Linked DNA regions of Mus musculus: all the other regions are reported to be linked to region 1. The links are microRNA targets in miRTarBase. Many come from high-throughput screens and were not tested one by one. Region 1 holds a microRNA gene; each other region holds the end of a gene's coding sequence.
The links. The annotated mature microRNA mmu-miR-709 reads GGAGGCAGAGGCAGGAGGA and lies in region 1 at 1,835-1,853, shown strand. An mRNA with a match to its seed (bases 2 to 7 or 8) in the 3' UTR can be bound and repressed. Matches are read on the target gene's strand: a 7mer-m8 pairs with bases 2 to 8, a 7mer-A1 pairs with bases 2 to 7 and ends in A, and an 8mer does both.

Region 1 (7,000 bases):
TTTCACTCTAGCCCTCGGCTTCAGACTTCATCCTGAATCCGTCCCCATCCCAGCACCTGACCACTCAGGACACAGGTCTTGTTGAAAGAGGGCTGGATTCGAATTCCGCTTCTTTCTGATAGTGCCCAGTTCGTTCCTCTCTTCTCTAAGGAGATCCCAAGTGGGGAATCTTCATTCGGGTGGCCATGAGTTCACAGCCGGGTGATACCCCAGTGTCTCTGTTTGTCCTCCAGAGCTCAGGCAGTCAGTTTCCCGCTAGGAAGGCAGAGCAGCAAGAAACCCGGCCCACGCCGCCGCCGGAGCCGCCGCCCCGGCCTCCCGGGCCTGGGCCAGTGTGCTGCGGCGAGGTCTTGCAGCTAGGCAGCGAGCAGCAGCCGCTCCATTACGAGCCGGGTGTGGAGCAGTGGGTGGAGCTGGTGGGCATGCTGCCCCCACACCTGCTCCTGCCGCAGCAGAGGGTGGTCTTCGAGCCACAGCGGGGGCTCTCGGCCCGAGCCAGCCCCGACCTGAGGGTCAGGATCCACAGAATGCCCCAGGTGCTAGTGTTCGGCACCGCCCTCAAAGTAGGTGGCGGCGGACAGCGGAGGCACGGCAGGGGGCGGAGGGCGGGCAGGGGAAGGGCATTCAGCCCAGCAAGCCGCTTTGCCTCGCCTTCAAGTCCAGGCTCCCAGGCTTCGCCCCTGCAACCCAAGGCGGGTGGGGTGAGATGTCTTTACCCTGTCCCCCAAAGTGCTGCCAGTCATTCTTGTTCTGCCTCAGGGACTGGGTCCCAGACACGGCTCCTGCAAACCAGGGTTGGGGGTGGAGGTAGGCTATCCAGTACCTGCCCCTAAGGTGTTGTCAGTTGTTTCTAGTTGTTCTATCAACTGATCCCTCTTCAGGCTCCACCCCTAATCTGCTTGGGAAACCTTTTTGGTTTCCAGAAAACCCCCAGGCCCGGTTTTTAGATTGCAAACCCACCTCTCAAGCCCATTGCAGAATTCTGTCTGGTATCCCCTCCTTTGCTCATAAGCCTTAGAAACCTCTTTGCCAAAGCAGAGAATCCCAGCACCTCCTGTTTTCCAGCCACAACTGAGACCTGGCCCCACCTAAGCCTCCTACCTAAGCCTCCCACCTCTGGCCCATGTTGTTCAGAAAACCATGATGTGCAACCTTCTAGATGGGGATGTATGTGGGCATCAGTGAACCCGTGGGTGGTGGTCAGCCCTGACCCATGACCCTGCTTTTCCTCCTGCTTCAGGTACAGCAACTCCCTCAGGTGCCTGTCCCACACGTGTATTCCAGCCAGGTGCAGTACGTGGAAGGTGGCGATGCCAGCTACACAGCCAGCGCCATGTAAGTGGGCAGAGGGTGGAAGGAGGGCTCAGATGTGGTTAGGGCCACAATTCTAACTCCCAGCTGGCCCCCAAGGCTCAGGTGATAGCCCCACACCTGTGGGGTGCCAGGAATATAGGCAGCTGGTAGCAGAAGAGACACTGGCCCATTGGGAAGGCACCTCCACAAATTAGGAGCTGTGCAGTTAGATGGATCTGGATTTTAGGCAGGAAAAGGGGAAAGAAAAAGCATACATATATGTATTTATACATACATTTTTACAACATAAACTTTTTTTGAGACAATGTCTCTCTGTATAGCCCTCACTGCCCTGGAACTTGATCTGTAGACCAGGGTAGCCTTGAACTCAGAGATTTGCCTGACACTTCCTCTCTCGTGCTGGAACCACAGGTTCTCAATCTGACCCTCAGTGTCCCACAGAGTAATTAGTGTGTCCCGTTTCTCTGCTTCTACTCAGAAGTGCTCTGAGCATAGAACTGTCCTGTTTGAGCAGCACTGGGGAGGCAGAGGCAGGAGGATTGTCTTTTGTTATATTGACTTATGTGTGGGGAGAGTGCATGTGCTGTGGTGCAGGTGGAGATCAGAGAACAACCTAGAGGAGTCCGTTTTCTCTCTCCTTTACACAGGTTGCAGGGGCAAATCCAGTTCCTCGGGCTTGCATATTCTGTCTTACAATTTTTCTTGGGGGTTAGGGAGATAAATCAGTAAATGGCTTGCTTCTTGCTTATCAGACCTGAGAAGCAAGGTCATGACCTGAGGTCAGAACTCAAGTACTAGGTAAGAGGTTCATGTGGTGAGTCTCTGACCCCAGAGCCACCTTGCTGGCCCTCGTGTGTGTGTGTGTGTGTGTGTGTGTGTGTGTGTGTGTGTGTGTGTGTGTGTGTGTGTGTGTGTATACACATGTGTTCGAGTGTGTGCATGGGATGATGGGGGGGGGTTGTATGCACCATGTATTGAGCGTAGTGCCAATGCTAACACTGGAGTCTGTTTGCTGTGTGGCTTTGGGGATCAACCCCAGGTCTTCGGTCTTGATGGCAAACATCCCCACCCACTGAGCCACCTGCAAGGCTCAAGTTTTCCTGCTTTAATCACTGTCACATTGGGAGGGCTCAAAGAGCAAAAGTGAGAGGTGGCCCTGCCTGTCCCCTCCCCACAGAGAGCCTTCTGCCTACACACAGGGTGGTCTTTTCCTCATCCCAACCTCTCGTTTCTGGCTGTCCATCGGTACCCAGTGGAGGACTCAAGGCAATCATGTTGCGTCTCCTCTTCCTGCCTCACCCCCTCTAGTCTGCAGCCTGCAGAGATGGGCCCAAATGTTAGGGTGGCTTGCTTGCTACAGTTGCCCCTCTTAGATCTGCGGCTTATTACCCTATGCGGCACTCAGGACATATTCTGAGTTGGAGGGGCAGCTCCCTGCCAGGAAGAGGTAGCCAAGGCGGCCCCTCTGCCTACCCTGCAGTCCTTTGTACTTTGCCTTCCCTCCTGTATCTCCCTTCCCTGGACTGAGAACTGTTTGTCGTTGTTGCCGAGGAAGTACGTTCTGCATTCTGGACCCTGTCTTGTTTTCTCCTCTTCTGCAGTAAGGAAATTGATTCCTGTGCTGGAGTGCAGTGGTTCAGTACCAGTGAGTGCTGTGGCTCAGTACCAGTGAGGAGAGTGATTCCTGTGCTGGAGTGCTGTGGCTCAGTGCCCAGCGAGGGCTGGTTCAATGGCTCAGCAGTGCTTGCTGCCGGGCTTTACAGTCTGAGTTCAGTCTCCAGGACCCACAGTGGAAGGAGAGCCCCGCCTCCCACAAGTTGTCTCTGACCTTTGTGTGTATGCCACGGAACACATGTGCCCCTCTCCAAGTAATAAGTTAATATAAAGACATGTTTTAGAAAACAAGAAAGTGGTTGCCCATCCAGTGCTCAGGCTGTCCCCAGTCCCTTATATGTGAAGGTGCCACACTGGTGTTTCTGTGGCTTCTCTGGTCCTCTCCTGGAACCCCTGCCTCCTTGTACAAGGTGGTGACCATTGCTTCCTGTCTGCTTCTTGGCAGCCGCTCTAGCACCTACCAGTACCCGGAGACGCCTATCTACACGCAGACGGCAGGCACCAGCTACTATGAGGCTTCGGGCACGGCTGCCCAGGTCAGCACGCCGGCTACTTCCCAGACGGTGGCCAGCAGCGGCTCAGTGCCCATGTATGTGTCCGGCAGCCCAATTGTCGCCAGCTCATCCAGCAGCGAGGCTGGGGCCAGCAACAGCAGTGTGGGTGCAGGGGGCAATGGGGGAGGCGGCAGCAGTGGTGGTGGCAGTGGCGGCAGCAGCGGCAGCGGAGCAGGCACCTACGTGATCCAAGGCGGCTACATGCTAGGCAATGCCAGCCAGTCTTACTCCCACACCACCCGTGCCTCACCAGCCACAGTAAGTGTTCGCCTTATTCAGAGGTGAGGGTGGGGGGAACACTCGAGAAAAAAACCTGGCAGTACTCAGAGAGCAGAAGTTTGGCCCAAGGCATAGCTCAGTGATAGTGCTCATATGACCTAGGGCCTGGTCTCATCTGTGGTGTTGCCTTAGGTGTTGCTCAGCCACTCTGTACCTCAGCTGCTATGTGAAGCTCTGAGGACAGTTGCAGAAATGCCCTTAGTCAGAACTGGTGGTGGCTTGATAGGAAATGAGAGATGGGAGCTCCTACAATCACAGTGGCAGAGCTGAAGTCAGCCCAAGTTGGGCCCATTATCAGTCAGGACCATGGATCAGGTCAGAACACTGCACCCTCCACATGGCAGCACACCCTGGCTGCTGGTCTTCACTAGTTTAGTCTATTTAATAAACCACTGCTGCAAACCTTCTGATTTCTCAACCCTGTGGGTCCTCTGGTGCAGCGAGCAGGTCTGCTGAGAAGGTGCACGTTGTTTGTGCCTGGACTAGACGCCTCTCACCTCGGTTACTGTTGCACCCAGGTGGCTAAGGTCCCTGAGGATCTGTGTTGTGGGCTTTTCCTTTTTCAGTTTTATTTGAAAGACTTATAGGCTCACAGGAAGCTATAAATATGGTACCAAACCCTGGTTGGGTGGCACGTGCTTGTGTGACCCCGGCACTGGGGAGGCAGAAGCATGAGTGGGTGTGAGGCTCCAGAGTTCCGAGCTGGTGAGGGGTACCCAGCGTAGCCTTCTTTCATGACTCAGTAGGTAGAGGCCCTGGCTACTAAGCTTGATTACCTGAGTTCAATCCCTGAAAGCCTCGTGCTGGCCAAGACCCAGCTCCTCTGACTTTCACACAGACCCTCTGTACATAAGTAAGTAAATAAATGTCGTAGAACAATGAACAGAAAGGGGCTAAGAATGGCCCAGGAGAAGCATGCCTGCTGTGAGAACAAGAGGTTCTGAGTTTGGAGTCCCCAGCAAGTCACAGCCTATCAGCCCAACACTAGGAGGAGCAGGGATGGAGAGGCACCTGGGGCTCACCTACAGCCAGCCAGACATAAACTCCAGCTTCAGTTTGAGATGTTGTCTTAAAAAAATCTAAGGTGGGGCAAGAGAGATGGCCCGTGAGTGGGAGCGGCTGTTCTTCCAGAGGACCCAGGTTCAAGTTCCAGTGCCCACATGGACCTCACATTGTCTATAACTCCAGTCCTAGGAGATCTGACACCTCCTTCTGGCCCCTTTGGGGATAGGGCATGTATGGGGTACATACATACATGTAGGCAGAACACACACACATAAAATGAAAATGAACAACAAAAACAAGCAACTGAGTTAAGCAACACCAGGAACTGAGCAACCGAGGAAAACATCAGCTGCTAACCTTTGGCCCCCACGCCTGTACCGGTGAACACTTAAACAATAAACAAAAGCACTGTTAATAACGAGGTCTGACAAACGCCCATGCACCCGTCACTGGACTCCTTACTCATTCGTCCCGTCCCACTTCCCTAACAGAAAACATCCAGTCCAGAAATCTCAGTTTGGGACCAGGGATGGCTTCTGTCGATTGTTTTGAGACAGAATCTCCCTCTGTAGTCAATTCTTGAACTCGTGGTTCTTCTGCCTCAGTTTCCCCAGTGTTGGGAGTTTAGGTATATTTTCACCCTCTTCTACCTCACTTTCAACATATTGAACCCCTTTAGGAACATGAATTTGTTTTCAATCTATAATGCTTTCCATCTTTATTACCTCACTCCTAGGATGTTCTGCAGTAACTCTTATTCTGTGACTGTGGGAGACTGAATTTTCATCCCACATATATTAACAACTTTGTCTTTAGCTGCAGGTGGCTAGTAGCAAGTGTATCAGTCAGTGCTGTTCTAGAAAGTTCTAAGACTGTAATCCCCAGGAATACTGTAACAGGATATGTGACTTACAGCTGGCAAGGGTGGCTTTCAGAACCATTGTGGAAAGCAGTTGCAGAAAACTCAGCCACGCAGACTGTCAGCACTACCCAGTCTTCTCGTGTGCTCCAGGTCCAGTGGCTCCTGGATAATTACGAGACCGCTGAGGGCGTGAGCCTGCCACGGAGCACCCTCTACTGCCACTACCTGCTGCACTGCCAAGAGCAGAAGCTGGAGCCAGTTAATGCCGCCTCTTTCGGCAAGCTCATCCGCTCGGTATTCATGGGTCTGCGCACGCGCCGTCTGGGCACCAGGTTTGCCCCCCCTCCACCCTCATCTGCCCTTGGCCAGGGGGGTGTACACTCTGCCCACGTGACCCACCTCAACTCCAAGGGGTCTTGAACCACAGGGCAAAGACCCTCTTGCCCCTTGTTAACTCCCTTGCTCAGCTCTGCTTGTGCCTACCCTGGGGACATCCCTTGGGCCATCTTCCCTTTCCTGTACTTTACCCCATCTCCTTACTCACTGATCTCTTGGTTCTTGCTCATCTCTTCTAGAGAAGTTTTTCAGGCATCATTTCATGCATGTGTTCATTTGTTCATTCATGTTACCCATCGGCCATGCACTTCATCCTCGCGTCTCAGTTTTCTCCTGTCTGTCTAGGCTGTCAGGAGCACCCTTCATGGGATAGAGACAAAGCAAAGTGGGGCTACTTGCTTAGTAGTATAAGCACCTCACATGCCCTATGACCAACAGCCTCGTGTCTGCCAAGTGTGTGCCTGGTATCAGAGTTGGCAGCAGGCAGTGACTCATACTACCATGTCCGTGATCACTCCTGGCATACAATGCCATGTTCTTCAGCTCAGCTGGCAAGCTTTCTCTGTCCAGGCCCCTAAATGAGAGGGATGCATGAGAACCCCAGTGTTCTTCCTGCCCAGCCGGTAAAGCACTTCACCCCACCTTCTTCCCAGGGGCAACTCTAAGTACCACTATTACGGCCTGCGGATCAAAGCCAGCTCACCCCTGCTGCGGCTGATGGAGGACCAGCAGCACATGGCCATGCGGGGCCAGCCCTTCTCCCAGAAACAGAGGTAGGGGCCTCCTGCTCTGGAACTGAGCAGGGGCTGCGAAGTTGGCTGTATCATACCACTTGACCATGCCCTAGACAACGTTCATCAATCTGCCCAACCCTGACCTGATGGCTCATCCGTTCATCACCTCCTCCCCAGCCACCCCTCCATCAGTCCTCACCTGCTACCCACCCCCCACCCCAGCCCATCCCCACACAGCTGGGTTATTCCCCCCCCACCCCAACCAGGTGGCTTGACTCCCCCTCCCCCAGCTGGCCCATTTC
Region 2 (7,159 bases), not on the chromosome of region 1:
TATGTCCGAAGCGTTAACTGAGTTGGGGGGACAAGCCTTCAGGATGGAGGTGGGAGGTGTGCCTGCTTCCCTTTTGCGTGTCTAGCATGCCCCACCCCCAATGTCTTCGGTGCAGGTCAGGAAGCAGCTACTCTCCCTAGTGAGGGCGGTGTGAGGATCACACCCTTCAACCTGCAGGAAGAGATGGAGGAAGGCCACTTTGATGCTGATGGCAACTACTTCCTGAACCAGGATGCGCAGATCCGAGACAGCTGGCTGGACAACATTGACTGGGTGTGGCCCAGGGACTATTCTGGCTGAGGCCTGGGAGTGCAGGTGCAGGGCCTGGGCCCTGGTGGAAGTTTGTAAGAAATTCTAATTATCTTTTCCTTGTAGGTGAGGATCAAGGAACGGCCCCCTGATAAGCACCAGGTTTCAGACTCGGAGGAGGAAGACAGCCTGGGTCAGACTCCAATGAGCGCCCAAGCACTCCTGGAGGGACTTTTGGAGTTGTTGTTGCCAAGAGAGACAGTGGCTGGGGCCCTTAGGCGGCTGGGGGCCCGAGGAGGAGGCAAAGGGAGCAACAGCAAGGGGACTGGACGGCCCAATTCCCCCCAGCGGCTAGACCGGCTGTCTGGGTTAGCTGACCAAATGGTGGCACGAGGCAACCTTGGTGTGTACCAGGAAACAAGGGAACGGTTGGCTATGCGACTGAAGGGTTTGGGGTGTCGGGCCCAGGGATCCCATGACCCCACACCTCCACCCTCCCTGGACATGTTTGCTGAGGAAGTAGCAGAGGGTGAACTGGAAACCCCAACCCCTACCCAAAGAGAGGGTAAGTTTGGAGGGCACGGGTGGGGGGCAGTGTGGGCTGGAGACTGAGTGCTTGAGGCCCAAGTATCGTTCATTGTGTTAGAGGCAGAGTCAGCAGGAGATGGCCTGATGGATGTGATGTGGGAGTATAAATGGGAGAACACGGGGGACGCCGAGCTGTATGGACCCTTCACCAGTGCCCAGATGCAGGTGAGCTGCCCCCTGCCGCGTCTGTCCCATCTGTCCAGCCCACCTTCTGTCAGCTTGCCTGAGTTCTGTCCTCTGTTCTTACAGACGTGGGTGAGTGAAGGTTACTTCCCGGATGGTGTTTATTGTCGGAAGCTGGACCCTCCGGGCGGCCAGTTCTACAACTCCAAGCGCATTGATTTTGAGCTGTACACGTGAGCCCGCTAAGGGCCCCATGCGGCACGGCAGCCCCTTCTTTCTTGAACTTGGCAGAGGAAGCCCCAGCTGCTCTGGGCAGTGAGGATATTGGAGGCCACTTTAAAGCCATTGTTTCCCAATAAAAGCCTTGACTGTGCGATGGCCAAGAGCCAGGGCTTCTCCATAGCTCCTTTTGGCTTCACCTGGTAGGTCCCTGAGCGTTTCTTCCCGAGAGACTTCCTCACTTGCTTCTCTCTGGTGTCTTGGACCACCTCAGTTTTTTTTCCCACCCTTGGAGGCAGAGGTAGGGCCCATCAGATGTCCTGTGACTTTCCTACGTAGACAACTTCTACTTGCTGTGTAAAATTCCCTCCATCACTCTTTTCTCCAGTCTCCCTTGCAAGTCCCTGTTCTGCTGATCTTTGACTTTTAGGACCTCAAATGCTCTGTCCTGGCAGCTCCCTTGTAGCTGGGACATTGGGAAGACCTTGAAATCCTATTGAGAGATTCTCTTAAACATGCATTCTCTTCTTCCATAGTCTGATTTTTCTACCCCTCGCCCCCCTGCAGTAGCTTCTGTAGCTTTTAGGTGAAGTATAAACTTGGTAGCACTTCAAGGTTGCTTGAGCCACCATGTGACACAGAGGGGGGCAAAGTGCAGTGGCTTATTGGAGATGCCACAGTAATAGAGAGCTGGCCATGGAGCTAAGTCTCCTGACCTTTTTTGGCATAAAGCTTTTTCTTGCTTGGCCTTTCAGGCATTGTAGTGTACGTTTCCTGGGCTCCCACATCTCGGGCATGGGGCTGGTGCCTCGAGGAAACAGTCGGTCTGGCCCTTCCAGGAATCTGGAGTGCAGTAGAGGGCTGTGGGAGGCAGGCAGGGCCTAAGTTTTCACCCCACCATGCTGCTCTGCTCGCCTCATCTGTCTCCAGGAGGCGCCCCAGGAGCTACAAACTGAGAACTTGGGAAGTAGTTCCTAGGCTCAGCTCGGGCTTGGTGGTGGGTATTTGATGCAGAGACCTCCAACACATCTAACAACTAGACTGGTTCCTGCCAGTCTAGACTGCAGTTGCCTTGACTTCAAGAAGCCCATTAGTAGTAGTAGGACATCTGATGCAGTGAGTCACTGAGACAGCAGAAACCCTCCAGGCATTGGTAAGGTGTTAACTGTTACAGAGGAACTGGCTTTCTGAGGTACCTGGCATCTTGGGACGAGTGAAATCTAGTCAGGTGGCCTGAGTGTTCACAGGTGTTGGGGGATAGATACCCAGGTGTCACTCAGTTCCCTCACGCTTGGCGAGTTCTCCCCTTCTCTGATAACACCAAGGAGGGGGCAGAATAGTGATCCCTGAAGATACCCACATCCTGAGCTGTGTGAATACCACTTTATGAGTTATGTGGCAGAGGGAAAGGGTAAAGTGACATTGAGGTTTTGTTTTGTTTTAATTTTTTGAAATGGGGAAGGGGGTCCTCACTGTGTAGCCCTGACTGGCCTGCTGCCTCCCAAGTGTTGAGACTAACGTCATGCACCATGGCGCTGGGCAAAATTAAGAAATTTTGAGACTGGGAGATTGATTACCTTTGATTATTTGGGCCATTGTAGTCATGGGTCCTTGCTGATCCCTAATGAGAGCAGAGGACTCTGAAAGCTGGAAGTGAGGCGTATGTCTCAGGGTGCAGGTGCCTGGAGAGACGGGAAAAGCAGAAGACAGATTCTTCTCAGACAGGTGCAGTCCCACAGTGATAACCCAGTTAACCCACTTTGTACTGTACCCTCTAGAGTGGTAAGATAATAAATTTGTGTCAAGCTGCTTACATTGTGGTAATTTAATAAAGCACCGGTCGGAAGTGAGTCTGCGCCCAGCTACGCTCTGGAGAGCCACCAGAGTTCCTTGTCTTCCCGGCCAAGCACTCACCTGACCCAACCCTGCTTAGGTTCGGAACTGGGTCTATTCTGGGTGGTAAGACCATGGACTTTGTTAAGCACAAAGCCAGTAATTGTTTGGATGGGTTTTTGTTGTTTTGAGACAGAGTCTCTCTTGGACCCTGGCTGGCCTGGAATTGATTATGTAGACCAGGCTGGTCTTGAATTTAGAGAGACCCATCTGCCTCTGCCTCCCAAGTGCTGGGTAAACTGCCTTCCTCTCCACTTCCTCTCCAGTAATAAAACTACAATGTGCTTTTTTTGTTGTTGTTTTTTTGAGACAGGGTTTCTCTGTGTAGCCCTGGCTATCCTGGAACTCACTTTGTAGACCAGGCTGGCCTCGAACTCAGAAGCTGCCTCTGCCTCCCGAGTGTTGGGATTAAAGGCGTGCGCCACCACCGCCCGGCTACAATGTGCTCTTCTAATAAGGGGGCCGGAGAAATACCTGAGCAGTTAAAAGGGCCCAGGCTTGATTCTCAGTAATTACATGGAGGCTCACAATCAGTCTCACAATTGTCGCCAGGTAACTGTGGGGGAGTCTAATGCTTTCTAGCTCCAGGCACTAGACTACCAGGTGGTTAGACAATACAAAGGCAAGCACTCATACACATGTAAAAAATTGGTTTTAGCCGGGCTGTGGTGCTGCACGCCTTTAATCCCAGCATTTGGGAGGCAGAGGCAGGCCGATTTCTGAGTTCAAGGCCAGCCTGGTCTACAGAGTGAGTTCCAGGACAGCCAGGGCTACACAGTTTTTCGAGACAGGGTTTCTCTGTGTAGCCCTGGCTGTCCTGGCACTCACTTTGTAGACCAGGCTGGCCTCGAACTCAGAAATCCGCCTGCCTCTGCCTCCCAAGTGCTGGGATTAAAGGTGTGCGCCACCATGCCCGGCTTGTTGTTTAATTACATTCATTTCTGTTCTCCAGCAGCTTATATCCAGCCTTATCTCCCACTCGCCCAAAGTTGAGTGGTTATTCCCCCACTGAGTCCACTTTGTGTTGTGCAGCTACTTCTCTTGGGAGTGCAGTGGAACTCGGGCTTGCATCTGCTGGACAGGCACTCTAGCACTGAGGAATAGCCCAGCCCAGTTCTCGGTTTTGTTTTGTGTGTGTTTATGGTAGGGGGAGGGTTTGAGAGAATTAGCTTGGTGGTTGTTTCTCCCACTGAGTCTGTAGCCCAGACTCTGACCAGCACCTAAACTACCTCCCCACAGTGTTAGCCTTAGAGGCAGAGCGCTGAAGACAAAGGAAGCGAGCCAGCTTTTCCCTGTCCAGTTGACAGGGGCAGCCTTCTCAAGGAGACTAAAAGTGAGGGTGCCATGGTTAGGTGGCTCACGTCTGATCTCAGCAGGAGCATCAGAAGTTCAAAGATGTCATAAACTGAAGTTCTCTGGGTGCTGTTTGAATACTGGAATACAGGTGTCTGAACCCAGAGTCTCTTAGAGGGCAATGAAGTGTGTCTTAATGTTTTCCTTGCTGGGATAACGTAGGACCCAAGTAACCTAAGTAAGATATGAGTTAAGGTGGAGGCGCACACCTTTGATCCCAACCAGAGGCAGGAGAATCTCTCGAGTTCAAGATCAGCCTGGTTTATGGAGTGAGTTCCAGGATAGCCAAAAACATACAGAGAAACCCTGTCTCAACTAAAACAAAAAACTAGAAAACCACCATGACCAAAAGCATCATGGGAAAGAAGTTTAGTTCATTGTTAAGCTGACGGGAGCCAGCTGGCAGAAGCAGAGGCAAAGACCGTGGGAGAACGTGGTTTACTGGCCTGCCCGGCTTGCTTTCTGATGGCACCCAGGACCACCAGCTCATACATGGGATACAGTGAGCTGAGCCCTATAGACTTGCCTACAGGCACATCTACAGAGGCTTTTTAATCGAGAGTACCTCTTCCCAGACGACTTAACATAAAACTAACAGCAGCCATTTTTACTCTGTGGAGTATCCTTGTATCTTGGACAAACACACAAGAAAGCCTTAAGATCAAAGCTATAGGTGACAATGTCACATTCAGTACATTGACTTGACTGCTGTCTGTTTCCAAGGAGGTAACAGGAGCCAGGCGAGGCAGGGAGTCTGGACCCTCTGGGTGAGGTAACTCATGAGGACAAGGAGTAGTAGAGTGATGTCCAAACGCTGCTAAAATAAGCCAAATGGGGTGTGGTGGGACACACTGGTTGCAGCACTTGAGGGAAAGCCTGAGTTGCATAGTCACAGGTGTGGTGGCACATGCTTGTGATCCCAGCACACAGGACCAGGAATTCAGTCTCAGTTTACCTAGCAAGTTTAAGGATAGCCTGGGCTACATGAGCTGTCTTAACCCCTCAAACAACAAAAACCCAACTAGACAAAAATGGTTTTATTGAAGAATGTCTGACACACCCTCCATTCCTTCCCACAGGAAGAGGTCTTAGCCTCACAGCATTCATCTGCTGGTTTTGGTTTGTTTGTGTATATGTGTGTGTAGGGGGTTGTTGTCTTTTAAGATTTTACTTGTTTTCATGTTTGCTTGCATGTATGTGTACTGTGTCTGTGTACCATGCCAGACTTGGAGGCCAGGAGACTTGATTGACAGATGTGAGGCACCTGTGAGTGGAGAGCGAACCCAGGGCCTCCTCTGGAGAAGCAATTGCTCCTTACTGCTGAGCTATCTCTCAGGCCGTTTTTTCTTGACAAAAAACTGGCCTCAAACTTTCCACCCTCGCATTTCCTTTGAAGTTCTAGTATCTTTAGATGTGTGACAGTGTCTGACTCCATCTGTTGACTAGATGAGCCTTTTTGCTTTGCCGCTGATCCTAGATTGCAGGCTGTGGCTGTCTACATGAAGTCAAAACCAAGCTGTGTATCTGAAAGTACCCAACTTCTCATGATCCTGAAACCCGATGACTGTCTCAGGTCTGGGTTATAAACAGGTGTGTGCAAAATGGGAGGTGTTGATGCTCTGGGGAGTGTGAAGTCATTTCTGAACTCCCCCTGGAGGACAGGCTGTCCTTGGTCCTTTTGGGGATCAAGGTTATGGTGTTAAACAGGGTTTCAGCAACCCCAGGCCACCACCAATACTTTGGGGCCCTATATACAGTCTACCTACACTCAGCTAATTCCAGCTACTGCCGGCCTCTCCCTACCAAGTCTCTGTTCTTCAGGGGCTTGTCAGGCCTAGACTATCTCTAAGGTAGGACTCCAGCTGCCATACTGCAGGTGCTGGGGCTGTAGAAGCCAGCAGCCTGGGGGTTGCCCCGGGGGATGCCTTGAGCAGTTTCTGTTTTCCTGTTCTGATGCGATCAGTCTTGCTCTGACTTTCCGGTTCCCACCCTCTCCTCTGCCGGCCTCTGCCCTGCAGTTTGCAGTGGCTTCAGGATCCCTGGCTCCAGTGTCCTGCTCTGAGCACATTTATTTCTGCCGCTCCATGCTTGCCAAGTAGCTGAGTTTCTCACCCAGTCCACACTGTCCTTGTTCCGAGTATCAAGCCATCGTTTGGCAAGGAAGACTGGCATTGAGGCATCCCTACACATATTAGTCCCAACTCTTTATTTAATACCGAATTTGCCCATTGTGCTGAGGAAGCAGATGAGATGCGGAGCGGAGCACTGAGGTGAAGCCGCAAGCCCGGTGCCCCTCAGCCTGTGAGTGTTCAAGGACCTCAGTCACTCTGCCTGTCCCTAAAGATTAGTCACGAGATTCAGTGATTTTTTTTTTTAATATTTATTTACTTACTTACTTACTTACTTATTCTATGTAAGTACACTGTAGCTGTCTTCAGACACTCCAGAAGAGGGCATCAGATTTTGTTACGGATGGTTGTGAGCCACCATGTGGTTGCTGGGATTTGAACTCGGGACCTTTGGAAGAGCAGTTGGCGCTCTTAACCGTTGAGCCATCTCACCAGCCTGTGATTTTTTTTTTCTTTATATTTTTGCCCATTTTTTAAAAGCTGTAGTTGGGACTGGCGACATATGCTTATAATCCAGGTGCTCAGATTGAAGCAAGAGGAGGCTCATGAGTTCAAGTCTGGACTGGGGTGTAGCATGAGAGACATGGCTGTGTCTCAAATTAACT
Region 3 (7,159 bases), not on the chromosome of region 1:
ACTTCTACATGAATCCTGACTGTAGCATGCACACTCCCCCACCACACACATAATAAATATCCCAATAAAGACTGCCCTTGAAGAAAATGAAGAGGAAGAGGGGGAAGAGGAAGAGATGATGATGATGGTGGTGGTGATGATGATGATGATTGTGAATATCAAATGTTCCTTTCTTATGGGAGACAAACAGTTTTTTTCCCCCAGCCCTAGATATCAGTCTCACTGTCTCTATTAGCACTTCACCAGAACTTGATCTTGATCTGACTTCCCACAGTGCCGTGTGTGTATTGTGTGTGTGTGTGTGTGTGTGTGGCGTGTGCTCTTGAGCGCACACACATACATGTGTGCACCTATGAGACTGTGGCTGTACGTGTGCCCTAGTGCACCTAGAGCTAGACTAGCAGAAAAGCATACAGCTTGCTTGCTCTCAAGAGCTAAATGCTGCAGAGGAAGCTGGGGCCGCCCACATTTGCTACCAGTGTTGTTTATGTTTTCTTTTGTAGTTCTTACCCAAGACAAAGCCCTTGGTGTGGAGAACCCTGAGTGCTACCAGAGGTGAAGAGCTGAAGAGCTCAGCTCCTGAGCCACAGGGTGACCAGACTGACACAGGAAGCCAGGGTTGCACAGGAGGCTGCTCTTGCTTGTGTCTTCCTTCCCTGAGTCTTCCCTGGACAAATCGAGCACCTGCCTGACACTTTAGTTATCTTCCTCTCTGGTCCGGACTTGTTGTCCTGACAACCAGACAGGAGGATGAAAGACAGCCCGCACACACCTCTCCACACACCACCCCACGCATGGGCTAAACTCTGGGTTTGAGATCACGTTTAGTTGAAGTTTGAAAAACATGCTAAAATCCTAAGTCATTAACCACTGCTAGGTGTAGATATATTTTAAATCAATCAAGCCCCTCTGGCATGTTAAAAAAGATTTATGTGTTCTTCACTTACCCATGGTCCCAAGTCCCTCACATCCGTCCTGCAGAAATCAGTTTATTTGTGTCCTAAGACAACAAAGGAAATGTTGAATCTTGCTTTGAGACCCTAGTCAGTGTTGCATTGGGCTAACTCAGACAAGCTTTAGAAAGTTGACTGTTAAATTTTCATTTTGAGAGCTAGTAGGCATGACAAAGACTTAAATTATTATTTTTATTATTATTGAGATGGTATTTCTCTGGGTAGCCCCAGCTGTCCCAGAACACATTCTGTAGACCAGGCTATCCTGGAATTCACTCTATAGACCAGGCTAGCCTCAAACTCACAAAGATCCTCCTGCCTCTGCCTCTCAAGTGCTGGGATTAAAGGTGTGTACTGCCACTACCTAGCTTTAAAAAAAAAAAAAAAATTGTAACTAAACAAAGGTAATTCTCCAAACCTCACTTTCTAATTTTACATGGCAGATGCTCCTGAGCCCAAGAAGCAGCTCAGATGCTGCTCAGGAGTGTCCATGGCACCAAGGTGGTGACATTTCTGTGACAGAATACTGCTGGGCTCCTCCTCTCAGATCTCTGTGACAGCCTGCTGGTAGTCCAAGGTCAGCCATGGCCCAGAAATGGTGAAAGCCGTGCCCCTGGGAACAGATGGGTTTCCAGCGTCTTTCTGCTAACGAGCAATGCTAGTTGGTTCAGAAAGTGCAGGGAGAATGAAATGGACAGTCTGTTGTTCTTTACTGAGATCCTCAAGGTACAGAAGAATTTTTTTTAAAAAAATAGCTCATTTGGTATTTTATACCTTTTATAGATGAAAATTTTATACTGTGTCAAGGCCCTCCCTCCCTCCCATATAAATCTAGGACTACTATATAATTCAAGCCATGCAGTATACAGAGAGCAGTGTCAGTATGCAGAAACCAGTGTCTGTCAGGAGTGCCCTCTTCTATACAGAAGGTAGGTTAGTAATCCAGAGAATACAAGAAGGCGGCTCACCAGCCCGGGCAGGGCTGGGTGCAAGGCTTCTGGCATCAGCGACATGACATGATTTGTCTCTGGGAAGTCTCTAGGAGGAACAAATGTCCTGTTACAGTCATTGGTTTAATCTGTACATTCTCTGTGCATATACATGTGTTCATGTGAGCATGGACTCATGGTCCCAAGGGCTGTAGTTCACACACTAGACACCAGCAGAGCAGAGGTGGGCCAGGTTATCAGCCTTCTAGCTGTGACTCCAGAAGCCCCCCATCCCCCACCTCCAGCCTTGCTTGTTTTTACCAGTATGATGGCATTTCTAAAAGCACCCTACCTCACAGGAATTCTGAGAGAACTGAGAGTGTGTGGAGCATCTGCTGCATGCCCTACATGGGACCTGCCTTCCAAATGTTCATGGTTTTACTTCTATTCTTTGTAACACCTCATACGCAGCTTAGACGTCATCTCCATTTGGTACAAACTTTAAGTCAAATTTAACTTTGAAACGCCGATGGCCTAAGCAAATCCTTTTAACTATATTTATAAATTCATTGAAAAGTACCTCATACTAGCCATATTAAAATCTAGCTGGGCAATCTAACTATGGTGACTGACCTGGGCAAAGAGAAAGTGGTTGTATTTTTCTTGTAGTTTTTTTTTCAAGAAAACATCCTTTTTATACAGATCTAGAAAGAAGAATCACTGCTTATACCTACATTGGTGATGATTGATGTGTTAATATAGAAAACTCAAAAGAATCTCATACTTTCCTAAAATAAAATATTTTAAACCTAGTAAGTGTGTTATCCATCTTGAAGGGCAGTCGACCCTTTATACTGAAGATCAAATGGTCTAACGCTCCCCAAAGACAGGTCTCTCTTAGAGGTTCACGTGACGCACATGCACACACTCTTGTGCACACACACACACACAAACACACACACACACACACACACCCAATATAAGATACACACATGACAACTATGTATGTATGTATGTATGTATGTATGTATGTATGTATGTTATGTATGTGTATATGTATGTATGTATATATGTACACCTTTGGAACTTGGGGCAGGGCTAGGGGTGGTACCTGGGGTTTCAAGCATTCTAGGCAAGACTCACCACTAAGCCACACTTCTAGCTATCAAGAGTGTTGTAAAAAAACAAAACAAAACAAAAAAAAATAAATAAAAAAAATAAAAAGAAAAAAAAAAAAAGAAAAAAGCCGGGCAGTGGTGGCGCACGCCTTTAATCCCAGCACTCGGGAGGCAGAGGCAGGCGGATTTCTGAGTTCGAGACCAGCCTGGTCTACAAAGTGAGTTCCAGGACAGCCAGGGCTATACAGAGAAACTCTGTCTCGAAAACAAAACAAAACAAAACAAAACAAGAGTGTTGTGATGTCTCCCTGTTCCCAGATTCCTTCTGCAGACTTGGGGATCTAAGCCACCAGCATACCTTGCACACATTTAAAGGAAGGTATAGTGACACAAAGGGTTCATTTGTTTTGTTGTTATTCATTCGTTTTGTCTTTTTGAAATGGGTTTTACATTGCCCAAGGTAGACTAGATGCCATGTAGTTCAGATGATCTTGGACTCCCGATTTTCCTATTTCCACACCCCAGGTGCTAGGATGACAAGCATGCAGCACCAAGGCCAGCCTGTGTGCACCTGGGGATCCACTTTAGAGTACACCAGGGAGGCAAGCACTCTACCCATGAGCGATAGCCTCAGCTCACAAGTTTCTTACAGAGATTGCGTTTACACATTAAAAAAAAAAAGATCAAACAGCCACCATGTTCAAAGCAGAGGCTCAGGTACAGTTTCAGCAATGAATGAGAAGTCCCTGCCTCACAGAGACTTCAAGGTCAAAGCCATAGAAACAGCAAGTAAATATATAACATGTTATAGGATGATAGAGTACTGTAAGAAGCAGCAGGGGTGGGCGTGGGAACGGCAGATGTTCGGGCTATCTTAACAAGAGGACATGTGCTACACAGGAGAAAGCCAGGCGGGTGGGTACCTGAGAATATTCCTGCCAGGTAGAGGCTACAGCAAGGGGAAGGGCCTTGAACTGGAATGTTCCATAGAATCTGAGGAGCAGCTGGCAGACTGGTCTGGACAAACTGCAAAGCAGGCAGACAGTGGCAAGAAACAGGGTGGCATGAATGTGGATTTTTCTGGGGGATGTGAGCTTACCAACAGACTGTCACATGGCACGGTTCACACATTTAAAACCGTTACTCTGGCTGTTTGAAGACAGTGGGGCTGAGGTAGGCTCAGATACACTGCAGGGCTGGAGAGGTGACAGTGACTTGGACCATGCTGGAAGCAGTGGAAATGGTGAGGGCGAATTCAGTTGGAAGGTCTGTCAGAATTTGCTGATGGACTGAGTATAAGAGAAGGGTGCCAGTCTCAAGCTGAAGGCATCTGACCTATGCCCAGGTGTGAGGCATTTTGAGGTAGGCAAGCACAGGGAAGACTCTACTTGGCTATACATACAGTACTTAACAAGCTGAGACCCTGCCAACATCAGGCTGCACACCCCTTCTTAAATAAAGCAACTGGTAACTCTAACCTGGAGCGCCCTAGCCATCCTTAGTAACTTCCCTTCTGTGGCCAAACACATCCTGAAACACCTTGGGATCTGGAAATGTGGGCTCATCCAGCCTAAACTGGTTTGGGGAACATAGACAATAAGGCAAACTATGCCCTACAAATGAAGTCTTAGGGAAAAACCCTACTTACCACCGTGCCTATGCATGATTGAACGAATATGATGAAGATCAGATGTATCATGGGAAAGGACATGTGAAGTAAACTCAGGTTTATGTAACTCATACATGTTATTCCATGCCTGTAGAGGTCAGGGGACAACTTGAGGTGTTGGCCCCTGCCTTTCCATCTTGTCTGAGAAGAGTTCTTCGCTGCTGCACAGCCAAGCTCACTTCTGGTGGATTCTTCTGTTTCGCCCTCCCATCTTTGGGAAGAGCAGCTGTTCCCAACCTATGGGTACACTGTAGCTCTCTTCAGACACACCAGAAGAGGGCAACAGATCTCATTACAGACGGTTGTGAGCCACCATGTGGTTGCTGGGAATTGAACTCAGGACCTCTGGAAGAGCAGTCAGTGCTCTTAACTGAGCCATCTTGCAAGCCTGAGGCCATATCTTTAAAAAAAACAGTTCTGCACATCAGTATATGATGCTATCCTGGATATCAAGCCAGCTGCTAGACTTGGTAGCCAGAGTTTAAAGAGAAGTTATATAGCTTACAGTGTTCAGAGACAAGGAATGAAATCTCCTAGTTAGTGGTTGCAGGGACTGAGAGATCGAGCCTGGGGGTTCTTCAAAACCTAGGGGTTTAGAAAAAGAACTGATGTAGTAAAAAATTAGAAGCCAGAGGTAGGAACCCATTCAACAGTCAAAGTGGCTTCCTGGAAGGTATGGGAAGAGCATCTTAAGAAGACATCAGTGCTTGTGAGAGATTAACAGGACTAACAAACACTGGGCTAGATGGGAGAGGGGCTTAGGTAAATGACCAGTGTGTTCAAAACATATGGGAACAACACTCACAATCCAGTACCATGGCTGCATCTGCTAGGAACCTCCACAGCTGCTGAAGTCTTTACTTCTGTGACAGTTCTATGACACATCACTGTACTTCTGAGTGACTCCGATGAAGTCACTTCATGATTCCTTCAGTGGCAGGTATACTGTGATGATCAGAGTGTGATCCTGGGACACTCAACATTGTCTCCTACCTAATAAAGCCCAAAGAGCCCAGTGTGAGGATGGTGGCCATTAGACGCCTCTATGAAACACAGATGGAATGGTACCTGCAGTCAGTGCGCTTCGCCAAACTAGTGCCAACAGTTGGAAAGGCCGAAATGGTGGCAGGCTTTTCCACCGAAGGACCTGGAGCTTTGGGTATTCAAAAATGCACTCTGTGACTGCAAAAAGCAAGACCATATTTCTCAGCTCCTCTAAGATTAGTGTTCTTAGGTAATGCATTTGAGCAGATTCCCAGGAAAGCCCTTCATTGGCTCAACGGTGTGGTCAAGCACCAGCCAAAGAGACACTCCCAGGGCCTGTGTCCTGCCACCAGCCATCTGGTATGCTCTTGGTACTTTCATCTGGAATGAGCCTGCGCTCTCTGATGTGATCAGGCCACCCATTAGGCCCACATCCTCCATCATGTTCTAAGCCACTTCTAAAAACACTTCATTTCACTGCTAAATTAACTGGTCCTTTCTTTTCTTCTCCCAAGCTCTCCAAAGAAAGGGGGCTAGGGAGGCCAAGCATTGTGGTATGCATCTGTAACGAGCACTCAGGAAGCTGAGGCAGGAAGACCACAAGGCTATCAAGGTCCAGAGCAGCCAAAACTACACGAGACCCTTTCTGAAAACATAAAAGGGGGCTGAAGTGGAAATGAGCAATGTGTTCATCCCAAAAGCCTCGGTGAACACATCTGATTACAACTAACTGTATGACATTTGCATAAAACACACACACACACATACACACGCTGAGACACACACATTTCAGGGCCAGTAAGATGGCCCACAGAACAAAGGAGATGCCACCAAGCCTTTGACTGAGTCTGATCCCCAGGACACACGTGACATAAGCCAAACACTGATCCCCCAAAGCTGTCCCAATTGCCATGCATGCACTGTGGCAAACCTGCACATACACCCAGACACAACATAAATAAATGTAGTACAACTTTAAAGATTTCACAGTGTTTCCAGCCCATCTGTCCTCTCTCCATTCCTTCCACGCCGACAATCATTTCACCGTCGTCCCCTTCTTCTGAGCTGGCTTTAAGTGTTCCATGAAGACATATCAAGCAGTTGAAGACTGCGTTTCAGGATCCCCACTGAATTCTTTCCTTACCCAGTTAGTGTGGATGAAAATATCACTGACTGGTGAGCGAGGGGAAGGAAATAATCACTCCAAGTCATTTTGTTAAAAATATTTATTTTAAAAAAATACAATTGTTGTCCATATCTAGTTGCACGTCTCTAACGACAGATCTCGACAGCTCTGGACTTGGAGTAAACCCGCCAGAGTGCGTTCTCAGAGCCAGCTTCCCACATACAGGCAAATCCCTCTGTCAGTTCTTACATAGAAGTTTTAAAAACTGCATCATTTTCTTAAAATACACATGATCTTTATAGAAGTTACAACACTTTTACATAAAGCTTAGAAGCAACAGAAGTAAGGTCCCCAGTTGGGCTACTCGGGGCAGTCCCTTG
Region 4 (7,159 bases), not on the chromosome of region 1:
ATCTCCCACCTGCTGATGACACTTTCCTGACTTCAGAGCCTGAACTTCATACCTGGTGGCTGTTGAACAGCTTTCTTAGGTGACTGTTATTTCAAGCTGAAGTCAAAGAATGCTTAAGCCATGTTGGGAATGTTCTCAAGAGCTTTTTTTTTTTTTTTTTTTTTTTTTTTTTTAACTTGCTTCTGCCAGCACACTCTCACTCTCCTGTCCCATTAGCCTTCATATTAGAAATGCTTGGTTTACTTTTTTTGGTTTTGAGTATAAGATGCTAGTGTGACTTCAAACACCAAGCTATTTAAAGCCAGAAGCAGGCCTATGCTTTTAGAAAACTCCTTTGCAGGAGACAAGGCCAAGAGAGAAGGTTTTTCTTGGTTTTCATGGGCTGATGAGTTTTTTGTTTTGTCAAGGATAGAGAAGAGCATTTTCAGTTTTTCCAGCTTATTTCCATCTTGTCACAGCCAATCCTTGTATACCCAGTATCTGGAGAGCCAATGAAGCATGTAGTCATTGGCTTCCAAAGATGTGCGCTTGCTCCATGATCACCACCACCAAGACAGACCTAACAGCTCCTTTCTTTACCTTTCTCATGTTCCTAGTCCGTTATTCTTTTGTTTGTTATTTTGAGCTGAACTGTCCCCTTAAAAATAGTAGCCAACGTATCTAATTGTAATGCAGAGATAATTTTTGTACTATCTCCCAATTTTATTTTCTACCACACTATTTACTAAGTATACCTTAGAGAGTCACATTAAAAATTATTTTTATCAAAATCCCATTTTAATAGACACGAAACTCTGACTTGTTGTCAAACCCTGAATTATTGTCCTCATTTTATAAATGTGGTCATTCTCCCAGCTCTCACAGTTGTAGATGGTTTCTTGAGGCTATTATTTGAATTGACCTTACTTGGCAAGAGACTTATCTTCCTGCTAACTCATAAGAATAGATCTACAGTTTTAAAACAAAGGTTAATAGACAATAGAAACTTGGTTTTTAATCATTCTACTTTATGCTACTTGAAAATACAGCTGCTAGTCAGAGAAGTGCATGCCATGTATCACAGCACTCCTAGGAAATTCTAAGTCTGGAGAGTTGTAAATCTGAGGCTAGCTGGGACACTCATCGTGACCTTGCTTCAAAACACAAAACCCCAAATACAAAGTAAACTATTTAAAAAGAGACAAGTGACAACTACTTTTCCAGTAAATACAAGAGTCCGCAGATCAGCTGGCTTGTCACCTTATTTGACAAAGATGTTAAGGATATGAGAAACAAAATACACTATACAATATTGCTATTAGTCAAAATAATCAAGCAGCCAACCTGTAATCTCTTATGTGCCTGAGACATGTGCAGAGAGCATGGGCTAAAAAGGCAGTCACTGTTTCAATGATTTATAACTTCATGAGCCTGACAGTTTGTTCTTTTGCACCACTGATATTTTCTGCATCTATCATATGGTCTCTACCATTCAATTCCAGGAAAGGGCCCCACCAGTGACACTAAAACACTCTACATTCTAATGGCAAAAGATTTTCCAAAGGGCAACTAATGTTAAATTAGCAGGATTAAAGAGAATCCCACTTACTATACTTAGAGATTATACTAACTTACCTGAGAGGTAGATTAGTGAAGAATTTTCACCAAGAGTCATTCACACAGACAGAATTCTTACCTCTACTTTGGTAAAGAAACTGGGTAAAATTGAACTTAATAGCATTTTTTCTTTTACCAAACAGCTTACTACTATCTTTCAAAAGGAATAAATCAAATCTCCATTACATCAGTGTGAAGTGTGTTCAAAGGAGCCACCTTGCCTTTTTGGCTCTTTTATTGCTACAGAGGTGGGAACAGGTAAGTTGAGATAGTCTTCTCTAAGTCGTAGGAGACTGTGGAAGGCCAGCAATCTTGGAGAAGTAGCAAAGTCACTAAGTAAATGCACGAGCCTGACCAGGGCAACTGCAGTGAGCTCATACAGATAGGACAATGGGCTGTGGTGTTCAGAAACCCTTGCATTAACCTTGGGCACACTGCATGGATTTTACCAAGTCCAAGTACAAAAAGTGGAGAATGAACACTCAGAGAATAAACACAGAAGAAAATTCTTTTTTTAACAAAGTAATATTTTCAACTGCTTTCACAAATGCTTTTATGTGAAAATATTCATATGAAAAAGCAATACACCACTCTGTTTCACTTGGTCATCACTATCTTTAGGTTTTGACACAAATGGAACCTGACAATCAAATGGCAGTACATAGGCTCAGGGTTATGTACAATTCTGTGATCAGAGAATTTGTAATGCAGGCAATGTAGTACTTGAAATGATGAACTGATTTCTCATTTCAATTGCTACACATCTATTTGAGAGCACAGAATACATAGGTAATGGAAAATAAATACACTGGGCTAAACAATCAAAACTATTACAAAAAAACACACCATTTTATAATATACTGACTCACAAATGAACAGTGTCATTAGTATAAAAATTGCATTTCTACAAAGCTTTCCAAAGACAAATAAAATTAAACCACATTAGAAATGAGTCAAAGCCACAGGTGAACATCACAGTCTACACGAAACTTTAGAGAATAAGCCTCTGAGGTCAACATGCTAGGCTGAAGCTGTCCAAGGTTTCTCAGTTGAGTCTCCTGCTTTGGGTAGCTGCTCAAAGAACTGACCTAGCAGGTTTCATGAGACTCCACCTTGGCTTCTGTCAGAAGCTACAATCTCACAAGGATCAAGTCAATGAGGTAAAGAGACACAACACTGAGAGCGTTCTTGTTGGCACAAAGATTTACACAAATACTTTCCAAACAGTTGAATGATTTGACAGGCTAGTCAATCACAAATGTACAATACTGGCAGGAATAACAGCAGGACACTAAGAGGAAGAACACAGAAAACCTGTACACACCAGCAAAAGCTCCATTCTCTCTCTCTTTCCCTCACTTCATGCTTAGGATTTTAATGCTGAAATATCTTTCACCCTTTACAATTCTTTAAAACTTCCCTTTGACCTCCATTGTTTCCAAACTCGCAAAAGCCACATGGCAGATATTCCCTTAACTAGCATTTTAATCTCCTCCCCAAAAGATGTTACACAGTGCACTTATTCAAGCTTACATATACTCAAACCACATGGCAATATCTTAATTATCAGCCAGGAGTTGGCCCTAAAAGGTCAAAGTGTAGCTTTTCAGCTGTCCAAAGCTGATCTGTGTCAAGCTTGTTTGCCTTCCATTGCACTAGTTATTATAAATAACAGGTACAGATCCTATGTACAGGATGAGACTGCAGTGACTGCCACACAGCACAATGGCCTATGTAGTGAATGAGACATCTCTTCCATGTTCCATGATTAGCCTTCAAAACCAAACAATAACAACAACAGAAAAGTGAACTGCCTGTGCATCGCTCCCATGGGATTCTAAGCAAGTCAGTGTGGTTCAGCATGGTTAAGGAGGTGAAGGGTTAAGAAAAAAATAAAAAGAGGTAATGGAATTTTCAGATATTCCAATGAAGAACAAGGCACCTTTCTCTATCCATCTGTGCATAAAGCACTATACACCCTCATTCCACAATTGCTATCTCATTCACCAGATTTTAACATCCAGAAAATAGCAATCTACAATTAAATAGCAGGTATGGCAATGGAAGGGAAGCATGGTTTTTGTTTTAGAAAATCACATTTTCATGCACTTCACTTCTGGATTAAATTTATTATGTACACAAAAATGTATTAAATGTTTATCTAATCTTAAGTTGTTTATTCCTTTAATTTTATATGAACAAAGTATTGAAAATAAACCTTAAGGCTTCATATGGAAAGAAATTAAGGTCCTGGACTATTTACTAGAAACCCAATTTTTGCCAGGATGTTAAAAACAGAAAAGCCAGGAAAAAAAATGATTCCTACAAATAAATATAATTTTAGTGGACTAGACCCCCTTCTCCATGACTTTTTCTTCCAGCTTCCAATATCTTTTAAGTATTAAGAAAGGAAATATAATGCGGGTGGTGGTGGTGGTGCACGGCTTTAATCCCAGCCCCTGGGTGGCAGAGGCAGGCAGATTTCTGAGTTCGAGGCCAACCTGGTCTACAGAGTGAGTTCCAGGACAGCCAGGGCTACACAGAGAAACCCTATCTCAGGAAAAAAAAAAAAAAAAGAAAGGAAATATATTATCTTATTATATTATTAGGTAGTATTTGTGGTCCAAATGGAACCTGGTTTTAAAACATTTATCAAAGCCAAGGCAGACTGTAATCCTTCAAGCTTTCCCTCTTGTCAAATATCCCATTAAAACCCAGTATGTCGATTTGGAGGAGGGTACTTCACAGAACAGAGATGCAAGTCGTCCCTTTCCCACCACTCTGAACTTGGATTTACTATTGCTTAAACACTCCATGCATCAAGGAAGGATTACAAGGGAAGGAAGGAAGGAAATATACTGGCAGAAGAGAAGGTGCAGCTCAGCTCTATTAGGAAGATGAAAAGTACCACAGAACCATGACACTTTTGAGTAAGGATGTATCAGAAGGGCAGAAACATGGAAGGGCAGTAAGGTCTCCAGTTCTGTGATGGCCTCAGCCTTGAACTGACAGTTAACTAAGTTAGAAAGATGAAACAAAAACATTCATAAAGAATGGATTGTCACAATAAAATCTTTCTTTGTGCAAGGTTTGTAGCAGCCTTGTGCAGTACAGGAAGGCAGATTCTGAACCTCCACTAACAATGACCCTCCTGTTGGCAGCTAATGCAAAGAAAACGTTATCTAAGCAGCCAGAGAAATACACTACATACCCCTTTTTAAAATGATGAAACATTTTGAGTTTCACAAACCTGTACTCATTATTCTGACTCAACCCAAGGGGGAATAAGATTGAATTTAGTCATCCTTCATATAGCTAGAATCTAATTTTATGGATTTATTCTCAGACTTGAGAGGGTAAGAGAGGAGATAGAGATTTTTTTTTATTTAATAAGGAATCTGGGTTCCTTGATACTGATATTGGATTGAGCAGGGAGAGATTTATAATCACACAATTCTCCAGAGGATCAAGGGAGATAGAAACAAATAAAATCTTTTACCTACTGAAATTGACTTTCATCAATTTGTTTTTTCACCAAAAGCACATCACTAAAAGCAAAGCCGACATGCCTTTTCAGTTGTTATTAAAGTGGTTCCAGAGAGGTTTCTTGAGATGGAAACTAACCACCACAGACCTGAAGTCAGCTTTATAAAAATACCTTACAGTGACAAGGCTTAGAGCACTCTGGGTTCAGAAAAACAAAGGATGTGGCTGGAGAAACTCTTGAAGAAGTTATCCTGTAACTATAGGACCCAAAAAAGATGTTGCTTGTACCTGTCCTATGAAACTGCCACTGCCTTTTGAATTTTCAGAGAGTACAGCATATGTCTTTGAGACACTTGGCAGTCTTAGCCTCCTCAACTGTGGTTCCCTCAAGTTTTACATCCAGTAAGGGTAATCCATGCAGATCACTGCTGCCGGCTCTTCTCACTACAGAGCAGCTGTGAACCATGGGAGTCTGCAAGTGCAAGGTGGAAAAGTCATAGAGATGAAAGGTAAGAAACAAAAGACGAGAGACCAAAAGAGCTCAGATGACTCCCTAGCTCCATGCTGAAGTTCTATCTATACCCCGGTCTCCACAATTTCTAGCCTCAAGAGAGTGCTGGGGAGCTGTGGTACCTGATGTTTCTGACCTGACTAAAACACATGCTTAACAACGACGGCAAAGACTTCCTGCACTTTAAGGATGCTCTGGTTTTGCTGTCACTTTATCAAGCAGCAGCCTCACTTCTAAAGGTGCTAATGAGAACTGCAGAGAAGTCCTCTGATTTACTCTTTGGCTCCCAAGCACATCAACTTGTTCTCTTCAAGACCCCACAAAGGTACTAACACTATGATGGCTAAGTGCTACACCTCTCTTACGACACTGAGGCTTACTACCATGTAACCACGGGGCCAGAGATCATCTTCTAAAAGTGAACACTGCTCATTCAGAAAAACAAAACAAACAACTAAGGATTTGGCTTAAACTGCAGACCAGAGGGAAACAGACTTCTTTTTTGGCCTGTATTTTTAGAAATGTCATAATGTAACCTAAGATCCCTTGTTGGCATTCTGACTCTTGCGCTGCCTCAGGGCGTCTTCCACCACGTCCTGAGTGTCAGCTGGGTGAGCTCCGTCCTCCTTTGGGGACACACTACCCTCCTTCACAACTGCTCGCTCGTTGGTGTCACTTCTCTCCTCAGCCATGATGCCTGCCAAGTTGTCCTCTTCCTCATCTTCTTCTCCTTCATCCTCATCTCCAATGTCCTCTTTCTCTTCCTCATCATCCACAAGACTGTCTTTGTTTTCTTCTTCATTTGAGTCATCCTTTTCTTCCTCTGCATCCTGTAGCTGCTCAGCTCCTTGAGCCTCTCCAGTACTCTGCTCCTGCTCTATGGAAGGAAAAGAAAAAACAAAAAAACAAAAAACCTCTGGATAATAAATGGCAACTTTGTAATTAACTCACTGATTAACCAGGAGATGAACAAATGGGGAATTTAAAAAAAAATTTTTTTTATTTTTTATTTTTATTTTTTTGGTCTTTTTGAGACAGGGTTTCTCTGTGTAGCCCTGGCTGTCTTGGAACTCACTCTGTAGACCAGGTTGGCCTCAAACTCAGAAATCTACCTGACTCTGCCTCCTGAGTGCTGGGATTAAAGGTGTGTGCCACCACTGCCTGAAGAGTTTTAGCCTCATCTAAAAATTTTATATTTCCCTATAAGAGCACCACTGAGTGTATGATAAGGCAGATGGGAATGGAGTACAAAGTTTTGTTTTATGGTATACAGTATGTATTGCATGCTGTATAAAATACTAAATGACTCACTGGTCATAGCAACTATTTCAGACAAGCCAATAAAAGTCATACTCCCCAGGAGTTTGAGACCAATGTCAGGAAGAAAAGATCTCTTACCACAAAGTTAAATTGATAAAATATGTTTGGGAATACTAATAGTTACTGAATGAACTTCATAAACATAGTATCATCTGGGCTAGGCTTGAAATCAGAGAACTCCTGCAGCAGTTTAGACTGGCTGCCTTTTGCACTCCAAAATGCTGAAGGTCATACAAGATTCCTAGC

Region 2: the mRNA of Cd2bp2 is a reported target of mmu-miR-709. Seed matches in the 3' UTR shown: 7mer-m8 at 2,674-2,680, 7mer-m8 at 3,283-3,289 and 7mer-m8 at 3,289-3,295.
Region 3: the mRNA of Mfsd4a is a reported target of mmu-miR-709. Seed matches in the 3' UTR shown: 7mer-m8 at 1,269-1,275 and 7mer-m8 at 1,275-1,281.
Region 4: the mRNA of Tmx4 is a reported target of mmu-miR-709. Seed matches in the 3' UTR shown: 7mer-m8 at 4,066-4,072.

What each region holds. Positions count from the first base shown.
Region 1 is chr8:84,084,333-84,091,332 of GRCm38, forward strand. It overlaps Mir709 (microRNA 709), which reads left to right and starts at 1,767; the gene lies at 1,767-1,854. Rfx1 (regulatory factor X, 1 (influences HLA class II expression)) reads left to right here. Exons shown (of 21, transcript NM_009055.4): 8 at 1,241-1,335; 9 at 3,374-3,740; 10 at 5,779-5,960; 11 at 6,618-6,737.
Region 2 is chr7:127,187,858-127,195,016 of GRCm38, reverse strand. Cd2bp2 (CD2 cytoplasmic tail binding protein 2) reads left to right here. Exons shown (of 7, transcript NM_027353.4): 4 at 116-273; 5 at 376-814; 6 at 896-1,002; 7 at 1,087-3,357. The coding sequence ends at 1,197. Among named protein-coding and RNA genes, the nearest start is that of Cd2bp2, 4.6 kb to the left of the region's middle.
Region 3 is chr1:132,032,318-132,039,476 of GRCm38, reverse strand. It overlaps Mfsd4a (major facilitator superfamily domain containing 4A), which reads left to right. Exons shown (of 10, transcript NM_001114662.1): 10 at 504-2,694. The coding sequence ends at 559. Among named protein-coding and RNA genes, the nearest start is that of Elk4, 28 kb to the right of the region's middle.
Region 4 is chr2:134,592,396-134,599,554 of GRCm38, forward strand. Tmx4 (thioredoxin-related transmembrane protein 4) reads right to left here. Exons shown (of 8, transcript NM_029148.1): 8 at 2,106-6,470. The coding sequence ends at 6,130. Among named protein-coding and RNA genes, the nearest start is that of Hao1, 42 kb to the left of the region's middle.